Callithrix jacchus: one gene and its partners. The main gene of each other region encodes a partner of the protein of the gene in region 3 in a complex. Links are inferred from orthologs where the notes say so. Each region holds a gene or a part of one and is shown on either strand. Other genes may lie near its edges.

Region 1 (4,170 bases), on a different chromosome or scaffold from region 3:
CTCAAAAAAAAAAAAAAAAAAAAATTAATGAACACATTATATTCATTCATTCATTTATATATGTCATAAACATATATATGAGCATCCACTCAGAGCCAGGGACTATTGTTAGTACTGGAAATATAGCAGCAAACTATATGGACACAGTTCCATTGTGGAGTTTACGTTTTAAAGGTGACTGTGCAATGCACATTATAACATCAGGTAGTGCTAGGAGCTACAAAGCATAATAAAGTAGGATGGGATAAAAATACAGGTGATGCAAGGAAGGCAAGAGTAATCAGAATACTATTTTGGATCGGGATGCCCTCTCTGAAGGGAAGGTGACATTTGAGAAAATAACTGAAGGTAATAAGCTAAGCAAACGTGTGAGTAGAGCCCAGGGCAAAAGAAACACCTAATGAAAAGGGAGTGAGGTACATGCTGGAGATTACCAGGAGAATCTGAGTGAGGCAGTAGAAAAATGAAATATGAGAAGAGTCAGATCAAGGGCCCACAGCAGACAGTTTAAATGTTATTCTGAACGTGATGGGATGTCTCTAAAGGACATGACATCATGTTTGCCTTTTAAAAAGTCTTTTACTAACTAAATGTCTTACTGGTTTTACTACTCCCTCCTAAACAATGGACACTAGGATGAAATAGTAAAAGCAGTAAGACATTTAAGATGGGGTTGCTGGGCACAGTGGCGCACACCTATAATCCCAGCCATTTTAGGAGGCAGAAGTGGGAGGATCATTTGAGCCAAGGAGTTTGAGACCAGCCTGGGCAACACAGAAAGACCCCATCTCTACAATATTTTTTTTAAAAATTAGCCAGGGATGGTGGCACATGCCTGTGGTCCCAGCTGCTCAGGAGGCTGAGGTAAGAGGATCCCCTGCACTCGGGAGGTCAAGGCTGCAGTGAGCCATGATCATCCCACCGCACTCAAGCCTGGGTGACAAAGTGAGACTCTGTATCAAAAAAAAAAAAAAGATGATGGAGTTTAATAAAGTGGAAAGGATCTTGACAAGTGGAATATTCTGGATAAGTTGACAAAATCAAATATGATGAGGCTACAGAGTCATCTGCTTGGGGATTAAAGTTCTGAGAGTTGATAAGATAGCAATTTCAGGAAGCTTAGACATCTTGACTTAGAGCTATAAAAGGGTACATTTTTTATTACCAAGTTTTAATTAGTCTTCTTATTCCCCAAATGGGATCCCAAAAAGTTGACTGAATTAACTGAAAAGGAGGTCATTCAGGTGGGTCTGGTCTAATCACATAAGCCTTTTAAATCTGGGTCTAGAGAGGAAAGACGGAAGTAAAAGAAATTTGGAAGTCAGAGAGACAAGCTCCTGGTAGCTTGCACGAAAGCAAACATCCGTGCTACCAATGGCCTCTGGAGGCCTTGCTATGGAAGCTGTGAGCAGTGGCTGGCAAGAGGCAGCAAGAAAAGAGGGACTTCAGTCCTGTAACTGCAAGGGATTGAATTCTGCCAACAGACTGCATGAGCCTGGAAGAGGACCCTGATCTCCAAGAGAACCACAGCATGGCTAATACTTTGCAGCCCTGTGTGACCCTGAGCAGAGAACCCAGATCATCCATGCCCAGACTCCTACAGAAAGTGTAGGAGTCATTCACGGGTGTTGTTTCAAGCTGCAAAATTTGTGTTGTTACATAGCAATAGAAGACTAACACAGGTTCGTTCCACTTTCCTATGGAAGGGGCTGCTTCTCTTACCCTAGCAGCAAATAGAAAGAGAAGCGAACTTGAAAAAACAAAGCTTGACTTTTATGATCTCTAACTCACTATTCCTGGAGATTCTGTTCAATTACTGCTTGAGTCACAGTACTTGTTTTACTATCTACAACATTTTGCCAAAATATCAACTTTCTGAAAATCATGAGCAATGCAAACAGGTTTATTTTCAATTTTAGAAAGTAACTTTGGTTACTACGTAAAACTAAAAGCAACTGGGTGTTTTGGCTCCTTGAATGTCAAAGTAGTCTTAGCGCCTGGAGACACAGATCCCTGTCCTAATCTCAGAAATGAGCCACAAGGTCATGACTCCTGTCTTTCCTTACCAGGAGTTTCAGCTCCACAAAGGAATTTCATCTTTCGCTTTTGTTTGAATTACGAATAGCAGTTCAGAGGTGTTCTCAGATGCGAAAAGACAGTCCCCTCCAGATAATTATAAACTTGACCCCTAAAATGTGGACTCTCTCTAGAAGTCCAAGAACCTCCTGATCAAGGATGCAACAAGCCGCGGCTCCGCTCCTCCTGCCGGGAACTGTAGTTCTCCCGCGGCGACCTTCAGCCGTGGAAACCTATCGCGCGCCCAACCGGCGACCCAGACGACAGCAGCCAGGATTGGTCCTGGATGGGGGCAGCGCGGCGCTGATTGGATGGCACGCCCGCGAAGCCGCGCCTCCCGCTACTCTCCACACCCCACCCTGCTGTGGCAATAACCTCAAGTCATCCCACTCCGGCGAACTCTCTGGTGGCTGCCTCACTGCCAGCCCGGGCCTCTCCCAACAAGGTTGGCCCTAAGACTCGCCTCTGTCCTGGAAGCGAGGCAGCGTCCAAGACTCCCCAGTTTGCCGCTGACGGTCTTAGGTCAGCTTCCTCACACGCCCTCGGTAGCCCCAGTGCTCACCTGGGCGGCGGCGGTCACACCCGATAACTGACAGACCCGCAGCATCTCGGTGGAGCGGACGGCGGCACTAGTGAACGCTGGAGCTGCAGCGGCGGCGCGAGTAAGTGGAGTCGTGCGTGCGTATGTGCGTGCCCGCGTCCGCGCCCGGCGCACCGGAAGGGCAGCCGACTCCACTGCGCACGCGCAACCTCTTCTCCGGTACCCGACTCGGCAGCTCTTAAAGGGTGGGTTCTACCCCGGCTGCGGAAACGCCAGCTCCGGGCGATTGGTGCGAAGGAGGCTAGAAGGGCGGATTCACTTTCCGGGTCGCACTGAGGCTACAGGTCCTTATCCCCAAGCTGGGGTTACTAGGTGAACGCGGCGGGAGGGAGGGCCTTCTGAAATCCAGTCTTCAGCCGCACGTGTAAAATGGACACCTGTGACTCTTCAAAGAATTAAAGCAAGAAAGCATCTCAGCCGGCTCTGTGAGCTGGATATTTCGTAGGAAGGAGTGGATTTGGCCAAAGTTACGTAAACAATGGAATTGTCTCAGTTTGCGAGTTTGCTTCGTTTGACAGCCCTTCAGGGAGTCATCCTGATTGCCGAAGACGGTGAACGAACACTGTAGGGACCCTTGTGCGGAACGTGTCAAGTGGCACAAAAAGGATAGGAACACAGGTTCTTTGGACTCCACAGCTTCTGCTCCTTCCAGAAGCTTTCTCCCAAGTTTTTACTTTAGTAACATCATTTTGGCTGCAATTGTGGATGGGTTGGAACATGGAAGGTCAATACAGAAGCACGGTTGAAAGTATTCCATTAGGCCGGGCGCGGTGGCTCACGCCTGTAATCCCAGCACTTCGGCAGGCCGAGGCGGGAGGATCGCTTGAGCCCAGAAGTTCGAGATCAGCCTGGGCAACACAGTGAGACCTAGTCTCTATACAGAAAAACAAAAACAAACAAAATATACATATATATATGTATGTGTGTATATATATGTATGTATGTGTGTGTGTATGTATATATATATATATATATATACATTTTTTTTTTTTTTTTTGAGACGGAGTCTTGCTCTTTCCCTGGAGTACAGTGGCACAATCTCAGCTGACTACAACATCTGTCTCCCGGATTCAAGCAATTCCCCTGCCTCAGTCTCCTGAGTAGTTGGGACTACAGGCGCCTGCCCCCACACCTGGCTAACTTTTTCTGTTTCAGTAGAGATGGGGTTTCATCATGGCCAGGATGGTCTCGATATCCTGACATGATCTGCCCGCCTCGGCCTCCCAAAGTGCTGGGATTATAGGCATGAACCACCGCGCCTGGCCGAAAAAAATTTTTAAAAAGAAAGTATTCTACTGATTCTATAATCAAAACATGTTAAATATTAAAATATGGTATTAATACTTCATGTATACTCCAGTATTAATATGTTAGTATTAATACTATTACCATCTTATTGCAATATCGTGGAAACTAACTTTTCTATCTTCTATTGAGTTTGCAAAGTATTCCAGGTCTTAACTGGGTAATTTATTACAATATAGTATTCTTTC
Region 2 (4,169 bases), on a different chromosome or scaffold from region 3:
CCTCCTTGGAGTACTCGCAGGCCTTAGAGGGGGCTACCGACAGAGCTGACATCACTGTGATGATTCCTGTGGGGAAGGGACGGCCACTGGTGACGCTTCCCTCCCAGCCTCCCCCAGCCTCCAAGCCCTGGGAAATCCTAAACTCTAGGGGTTTTGGTTTCTTTAGAGACAGGGTCTCCCTCTGTTGCCCAGGCTGGGGCACAGTGGTGTCATCATAGCTCACTGAAGCCTTGAACTCCAGGGCTGAAGCAATCCTCCTGCATAAGCCTCCCAAGTAGCTGGTACCGCAGGCACATGCCACCATGCCTGGCTAATTAAAAACGATGTTTTGGGCCAGGCATAGTGGCTCATACCTGTAATCCAAGCACTTTGGCGGCCAAGGCGGGCAGATCACCTGAGGTCGGGAGTTCAAGACCAGCCTAACCAAATGGTGAAACCCCGTCTAAAATTAAAAAAATAATTAAAAAAAAAAATTTTTGCCAGGTACGGTGGCTCATGCCTATAATCCCAGCACTTTGGGAAGCCAAGGCAGATGAATGGCCTGAGGTTAGGAGTTCAAGACCAGTCTGACCAACATGGTGAAACCCCATCTCTATTAAAAAAAAAAAAAATACAAAATTAGGCAGGCGTGGTGGCACACGCCTGTAGTCCCAGCACTTTGGGAGGCTGAGGCAAGCGGATCACGAGGTCAGCAGTTCAAGACCAGCCTGACCAACATGGAGAAACCCCATCTCTACAAAAATACAGAATTAGCCGGGCATGGCGGCACATGCCTGTAATCCCAGCTACTCGGGAGGCTGAGGCAGGAGAATCGCTTGAACCTGGGAGGCAGAGGTTGCGGTGAGCCGAGATCACATCATTGCACTCCAGCCTGGGCAACAAGAGCAAAACTTCATTTCAAAAAAGGAAAAAAAAAGAAAAGCAGATTTTCTCTGTGAAGAGACAGGGTCTCATAATGTTGCCCAAGTTGTTCTCAAAGTCCTGGCTTCCAACAGCTTTTCCGCCTCAGACTCCGAAAGTGCTGTAGGTATGAGCCACCACTCCTAGCAAGCAAGTCTTTTTAAAAACAACTTCCAGCAGAAACTGAGGCAGCAGAGGGGCAGCGCCTTGCCTTGTCCAAGCTCGTAGGACAAGTTCGGCTGTGGGCCCAGGCCTCCCACCTCCCATTCTAACAGGCGGTGCACAGTCCAGCCCTCAAGGGCTCCGCCCTCGTCCCCTTCCCTAGAATCTCCACTCCTTTCCCTGTTACTCATTTATTTGAGACAGAGTCTTGCTCTGTTGCCCAGGCTGGAGTGCAGTGGCGCAATATTGGCTCATTGCAACCTCTACCTCCGGGGCTCAAGAGATTCTCCTGCCTCAGCCTCCAGAGTAGTAGAGACAGAGTTTCACTGTGTTGCCCAGGCTGGTCTCAAACTCCTGACATTCCTGACTTCAGGTGATCCTCCTACCTCAGGCTCGCAAAGTGCTGGCATTACAGGCATAAGCCACCAGGCCTGGCCTCGGTTCCCTTTTAGATCCCTAAGAGACACGTGTGGGGCAGGCCGGGGGATGGATAGAAAAAGTGGCCAGGACATGGGGAGACGGGCTAGACTGGGGTGTCTGCAGCAACCCCCACAAGCAAAGAAACCAGGTGCCTACCTGCATTCCAGGAGTCACGGATGGGAAAGTGAATCTTTGGAGGAGCTGGGAGCTGGGAAGAGAGATGGGCAGAAAGAACCGGTGAAAAGACCCAGCAGCCCAGCCCCAGAGACAGAGGGAGGAGAACAGGCCTGAGAATCAGGCAGCACCAACACGGAGGGCATCATGCAGGGCTGGAGGCAGCCCCAGAGTCGGCCACTCGCCAAGCCCTGGCCTCGCTCCCAGCCTGGAGTACCTGGGGTATCTGCAGGCCTGTCTGCTGACACACGTAGTGGCTGAACTGGTACATGGCCGGGGGAACCACTTCCCCAGCCTTCTTTAGGGCTGCCTGGCTCTTGTCGCTGGACCCCAGCAGCTCCTGGTCATACACCAGGTAGACGGCGCCCCCAGCCACACTTCCCTTGATGAGGAACCTGCGGGTAGGGACGGGAGGAGCAGAAGCTTAGCGGACACTGACCGCCACCCTTAGGAGCCTAGGCCCACGGGGAGAGTCAGACCCTCCCGGGGGCTCACCGTCCACAGGGTGACACTCTGTATGTAGCACCGTCGACCCAGACCCCTATCATATACAGCACTCGATTCACAATGTGCAAGGCAGGGCGGCTGGACGCCATTTTAATCGGTAAACTGAAACCCAGAGCGGGAGAGTGGGTCACTCAAGTTCCCACAGTGAGCAGGGGCAGTGAAAAAGATCCTTGACTTTCCAGAGCCTTCCAGCCCTGGAGAAACCAAGTGTCCCTGGACGCCTCCTGCCCGCTGTCACTCGCTCCGAGCACGCATTCACCTCCCATCCACGCCAGCGACAGGATTCACCGGGCATTGCCTCTTCACAGAGAAGACAACTGAGGCTCGGAGGCGGAGGCAGACACCGTGAGCGGAACGCAAAGGGCTCGCTGGCAGGCAAGAGGGGAGGGATTGGAGACCTAGGGAAGCCCCACCCCGCTGGAGCCTCAGTTTCCCTATCTGGCCCATAGGCGGGGGAGGAAGGGAAGGTAACTCTACATGAAGCGAGGAACAGATCGCAAGCAGACTGGAGACAAGGGTGCCCACAAAAAGGGACTTTTTCGGGGACTCAGGTCCTATCCGGCGGCCCCACGCACCTCATCAGCGACCACACCCGGGCCACCATAGTCGCTCGGCTCCACGCGCAAGGACACGACTCGCCCGCCGCTTCCGGTCGCCACGCCGCAGAGGCCTCTGGGAGGCGTAGTCTTTCTTGCGCGACGCAGAGTCTCCTGGGAGTGGTAGTCTCTTAGGGCGCTGAGACTCCAGAGAAGGGCTACGGTCCCGCCACGAAGGGCCGCTGGGAAATGGACGCTTCAGGACCCGGGCCGCTGCAAGGCTGTCTGGGAAATGTAGTCAGCACCGCGCTGTTTACGCCTGGCCGCGGAGCCTCCTGGAAAATGTAGTCCGGTCCGGCCTAACCCGGCCCTAGCAGTGTGAGGGGAACGAGGCGTCGGGTGCCTGGACTGAAGCCTGAAGGTGACCCGAGAAGAAGTCGGAGCCCGAGAGATCCGCCCGCGCCCGCACGGGGGACTAAGGACCGGGACCTAGAAAAAGTGCCCATAGAAAGTGGTTGTCACGGCAACGCGAAGGCGGGATTGTTCGAAAGCGGCGGTCCCGTCACATGATGGATTCGGGGGCGGGGATTCCACCCAAGGGGCGGGGCCGAGACTGGGAGGTGGAGAGCAGGCGGGGACTGTTGCCTGGCGACGCTCCGGCGCTGGGTCCCCGAGGCCCGGCCCCTCCCCGCGAGGAGGTGGGTTTGGAGTCAGGTGACCCGGGCCCTACGGGAGGGGGCGCGGTCAGAGACCCGGCAGGAGGCGGCCGGGAAGAGAGCTCCGTGGGACGTTCGCGTGGCTCCCAGGCCGGGACCCCAACCCCGCTGGATAGTGGGGGAAACTGAGGCCTGAGTGGGTAAGTATACAGTTTAGGGCTGCGCAGCAGGTCACACACCCCCTTTGTTCGGAGGGGAAGCTAAGGCCCGCCGGGGTCTAGAAGGGGCCGGTGGGTTCTGCAGGAATTTGTCCCTCCCCGCCCCCCGCCGCCCGGATTCCTCCTGCATCTCGGCCAGGCTGCTTCAACCGTTCATCTGCCCATCCATCCGTCCATACGTCCATCCTTCCATCCATCTGTCCCCTCACCCATCCATCTATCCATCTGGCCATCCACCCACCCACCCATCCATCTATCCATCCACAGTTCCCTTTATCGGTCTCGCTATCCATCCACGCATCCGTTCATCCATCTGCTCCCCCCATCCAGCCATCTATCCATCTGACCATCCACCCACCGATCCTTCCATCTATCCATCCACACTTCCATTCATCATCTGTCTCCCCATCCATCCACGCATCCGTTCATCCAACTGTCTGCCCATCCATCCACCCATCAATCCATCCATCTGCTCCCCCATCCATCCACCCATCCATTCATCCATCTGTTTCCCAAATTCATCATACATCCATCCGCTCATCCATTTATCCATCCATGCCTCCATCCCTCCTTCTGTCCATCCACTCATCCATCCA
Region 3 (4,110 bases):
AGAAGGGACAGACCTCAAGGTAATAAAAGCCATTTATGACAAACCCACAGCCAATATCATACTAAATGGGGGACAAATTGAAAGTATTCCCAATGAGAACTGAAACAAGACATGGATGGTCACTTTGACCACTTCTACGCAATAGGATACTGGAAATCCTAGCCAAAGAAGTCAGACAAAGAAAGAAATAAAGGGAACTCAAACTGGAAAAGAGGAAGTCAAACCATTGCTATTCACCAATAATATCTGTTCACCAATCATATCTGATAGTATACCCAGAAAATCCTAACAACTTATCCAAAAAGCTCCTAGACCTGATAAAATAATTTAGTTAAGTCTCAGGTTACAAAATCAATGCACAGAAATCAGTAGGATTGCTAAACATCAACGACCAAGCTGAGAATCAAATCAATAATTCAATCCCTTTTACAACAGCTGCAAAACAAAAACAAAAAATAAACAAGCAAACAAAACCTCAGGAATATACTTAACCAAGGAGGTGGAAGATTTCTGTAGGAAAACTATAAAACACTGCTGAAAGAAATTATAGACAACACAAACAAATGGACACATATCCCATGCTCATGGATGGGTATAATCAATTTTGTGAAAATGACCATACTGCCAAAAACGATCTATAGATTCAATAAAATTCACATCAAAATACCATCAACATGCTTCATAGAACTAGAAGAAAACAATCCTGAAATTCTTAAGGAACCAAAAAAGAGCCCACATAGCTGAAGTAGCACTAATCAAAAAGAACAACTCTGAAGATATCATATTACCCAACTTCAAACTATACTAAAGCTACAGTTACCAAAACATTGTACTGGTATAAAAGTAGCCACATAGACCAATGGAACACAGTAGACAACCAAGAAATAAAGCCAAATACTTATAGCCAACTTATTTTAGACAAAGCAAACAAAAACATAAGAGTTGGAAAAGCACACCCCTTTTAGTCAACAAATTATGCTGGAATAACTGGCAAGCCACAGAATGAAACTGGATCCTCATCTCTCACCTTATACAAAAATCAACTCAAGATGGATCAAGGACTTAAATCTAAGACCTAAAACCATAAAAATTCTAGAAGATAATATCAGAAAAACTCTTCTAAACATTGGTTTAGGCAAAGAGTAGTTCATGACCAAGAACCCAAAAGCAAATGCAACAAAAACAAAAATAAAGAGATGGGAACTGATTAAACTAAAAAGCTTCTACATAGCAAAGGAAATAATTAGCAGAGGAAACAGACAACAGACAGAGTGGGAGAAAATACTCACAAACTATGCATCTGACAAAGGACTAATATCCAGAATCTAAAAAGAACTCAAACAAATCAGCAAGAAAATAACTTGCATGAACAAGTAGGCAAAGGTCATGAATAGACACTTCTCAAATATGCAAATATCCAACAAACATATGAAAAAATGCTTAACATCACTAATTATCAGGGAAATGGAAATTCAAACCACAGTGCAATCCCACCTTACTCCTGCAAGAATGGCCATAATTAAAATTAAAAAACAATACTTGTTGGTGTGGATGTGGTAAAAAGGGAACACATTTACACTGCAGGTAAGAATGTAAGCTAGTACAACCACTATGGAAAACAGTATGGAGATTCCTTAAAGAATTAAAAGTAGAACTACCATTCGATCCAGCAATCTCACTACTGGGTATTTACTCAAAGGAAAAAAGTTATTATATAAAAATGTCACTTGCACATGCATGTTTACAGCAGCACAATTTGCAATTTTGAAAATATATAACCAGCCCGAATGCCCATAAACCAATAAATGGACCAAAAAAAATGTGGACTATATATACAACATGGAATACTACTCAACCATAAAAAGGAACAAAATAATGGCATTTGCAGCAACCCAGATGAAGCTGGAGAACATTATTCTAAGTGTAGTAACTCAGGTATTGAAAAACCAATTACCATATGTTCTCACTAATAAGTGGGGGCTAAGCTATGAGGATGCAAAGGCATAAGAATAATATAATACACTTTGGGAACTTGAGGAGAACAGTGGGAGGGGGTAAGGGACAAAATACTGCACACTGAAGACAGTGTACACTGCTCAAGTGACAGGTGCACCAATCTCAGAATCACCACCAAAGAACTCATCCATGTAACCTAAAACCACCTATTCCTGCAAAACTACTAATATTTTGTTTAAATGTGTAAAATATCTGAACAGATACTTCATTAAAGATACACAGATAGCAAATAATCACATGAAAAGATGCTTAACATCATGTCATTGGAGAATCACAAATTAAACCAACAATGAGATACCACTACATACCTACTAGCAGGGTGAAAATCCAAAACATTGATAACAGTGAGTGCTGAGGAGAATGTGGAGCAATGGCAAGTCTCATTCATTGCTGGTCGGAATACAAAATGGTACAGCTACTTAGAAGAGTAGCTTGACAGCACTATTCACGACAGCAAAGATATGGAATCAACCTAAATGCCCACCAATGACAGATTGGATAAAAAAAATTGGTACATATACACCACGGAATAGTATGCAGCCATAAAAAGGAATGAGATCATGTCTTTTGCACAAACATGGATGAAGCTGTAGGCTGTTATCCTTAACAAGTAAATGCAAGAACAGAAAATCAAATACCACATGTTTTTACTTATAAGTGGGAGCAAGTGATGAGAACTTACAAACACAAAGGAAACAACGGACACTGGCATCTTCTTGAAGTGGGAGCTAAATGATGAGAACTTACAAACACAAAGGAAACCACAGACACTGGGGTCTTCTTTCTTCTAGGAGAAAGGAGAGGAGGAGAAAAGATAACTATTGGGTAATGAGTTTATTACCTGAGTGATGAAATAATCTGCACAACAAATGCCCATGATATGAGTTTACCTGTGTAACAAACCTTCACATGTACACCTGAACCTAAAATAGAAGTTGGAAAAACAATTAAATGAACAAATAAAAATAAAAGATTCATTCACCATGATCAGTGGGGTTTATCCCAGGGAAGCACGGATGGTTCAACATATGCAAATTAACAAACATGATACACCACATTAACCGAATGAAAGATAAAAACAACACAATCATTTCAATGAATACACAAAAAGCATTTGGCAAAATTCAACACCCTTTTGTGATAAAAACTCTCAACAAATTAATTATACAAGGTATGTACCTCAACATAATAAAGGGCATATGAGATAAGGCCACAGTAATATCATAACCAAGGTGAAAAGCTAAAAGCTTTTCCTCTAAGATCAAGAACCAGACAAAGTTGCTCACTCTTGCCACCTCTATTCAACATAGCACTGGAAGTCCTAGCCAAAGCAATTAGGCAAGTGAAAGAAATAAGAGGCATTCAAATTGGAAAAAAAGAAATAAAATTGTCTCTTTTCCCACATTACATGATATTATACATAGAAGATTTTAAATATGCCACCAAAACCCTGTTAGAACTAATAAATAAAGGGAACTGCAGCATACAAAGTCAACATACAAAAAGCAGTTGGATTTCTATGCACTATCGAAGATGGTCTACCCAAAAAAGAAAGAAAACCCATTTAAAATAGCATCAGAAAGAATAAAACAGAAATAAACTTAACCCAAGAGGTGAAAGAACTGTATACTGATAACTATCAAAGAGTGATGAACAAAACTGAAGATACAAATGAATGCAAGATATCCTATGTTCATGAATTGGAATAATTAATGTTAAAGTAGCCACACTACCCAAAGCTATCCACAGATTCGATTCTAATGGCATATTTCACAGACATAGGAAAATAAACAATTGCAAAATTTGTATGGAATCACAAAATACTCTGAATAGCCAAAGTAGTTGTATAACCAAAGCAAATAAAATCAGCAATTGCAAAGATATCTGTATTCCACGTTCATTGCAGGATTATTCACAACAGCCAAAATATGAAAACAACCTAAGTGTCTGCCAACAGATGAATGAAGAAATTGTGGTACACACACATACACAAAACACACACACACACACACACACACACACACAGGCAATGGGTTATTATTCAACCATAAAAAAAGAAAGAAAACCTGTCATTTGCAACAACATGGATAAACC

Evidence for each region.
Region 1: APOOL (region 3) and IMMT share a complex: the UniProt entries of both Homo sapiens proteins name them as parts of the mitochondrial contact site and cristae organizing system (MICOS) complex. The link is inferred for Callithrix jacchus from reciprocal best matches to the Homo sapiens genes APOOL and IMMT.
Region 2: APOOL (region 3) and MICOS13 share a complex: the UniProt entries of both Homo sapiens proteins name them as parts of the mitochondrial contact site and cristae organizing system (MICOS) complex. The link is inferred for Callithrix jacchus from reciprocal best matches to the Homo sapiens genes APOOL and MICOS13.

What each region holds. Positions count from the first base shown.
Region 1 is NC_133515.1:26,804,308-26,808,477, reverse strand, and holds the start of IMMT (MICOS complex subunit MIC60), read right to left. Parts: upstream 2,801-4,170; 5' UTR 2,684-2,800; coding exon 2,639-2,683; intron 1-2,638. UniProt on the Homo sapiens protein: Component of the MICOS complex, a large protein complex of the mitochondrial inner membrane that plays crucial roles in the maintenance of crista junctions, inner membrane architecture, and formation of contact sites to the outer membrane.
Region 2 is NC_133523.1:5,376,730-5,380,898, forward strand, and holds the start of MICOS13 (MICOS complex subunit MIC13), read right to left. Parts: upstream 2,801-4,169; 5' UTR 2,768-2,800; coding exon of another isoform or gene 2,739-2,767; 5' UTR 2,611-2,738; coding exon 2,423-2,610; intron 2,052-2,422; coding exon 1,874-2,051; intron 1,691-1,873; coding exon 1,639-1,690; intron 67-1,638; coding exon 1-66. UniProt on the Homo sapiens protein: Component of the MICOS complex, a large protein complex of the mitochondrial inner membrane that plays crucial roles in the maintenance of crista junctions, inner membrane architecture, and formation of contact sites to the outer membrane.
Region 3 is NC_133524.1:82,523,959-82,528,068, reverse strand, and holds the start of APOOL (MICOS complex subunit MIC27), read right to left. Parts: upstream 2,801-4,110; 5' UTR 2,729-2,800; coding exon 2,699-2,728; intron 1-2,698. UniProt on the Homo sapiens protein: Component of the MICOS complex, a large protein complex of the mitochondrial inner membrane that plays crucial roles in the maintenance of crista junctions, inner membrane architecture, and formation of contact sites to the outer membrane.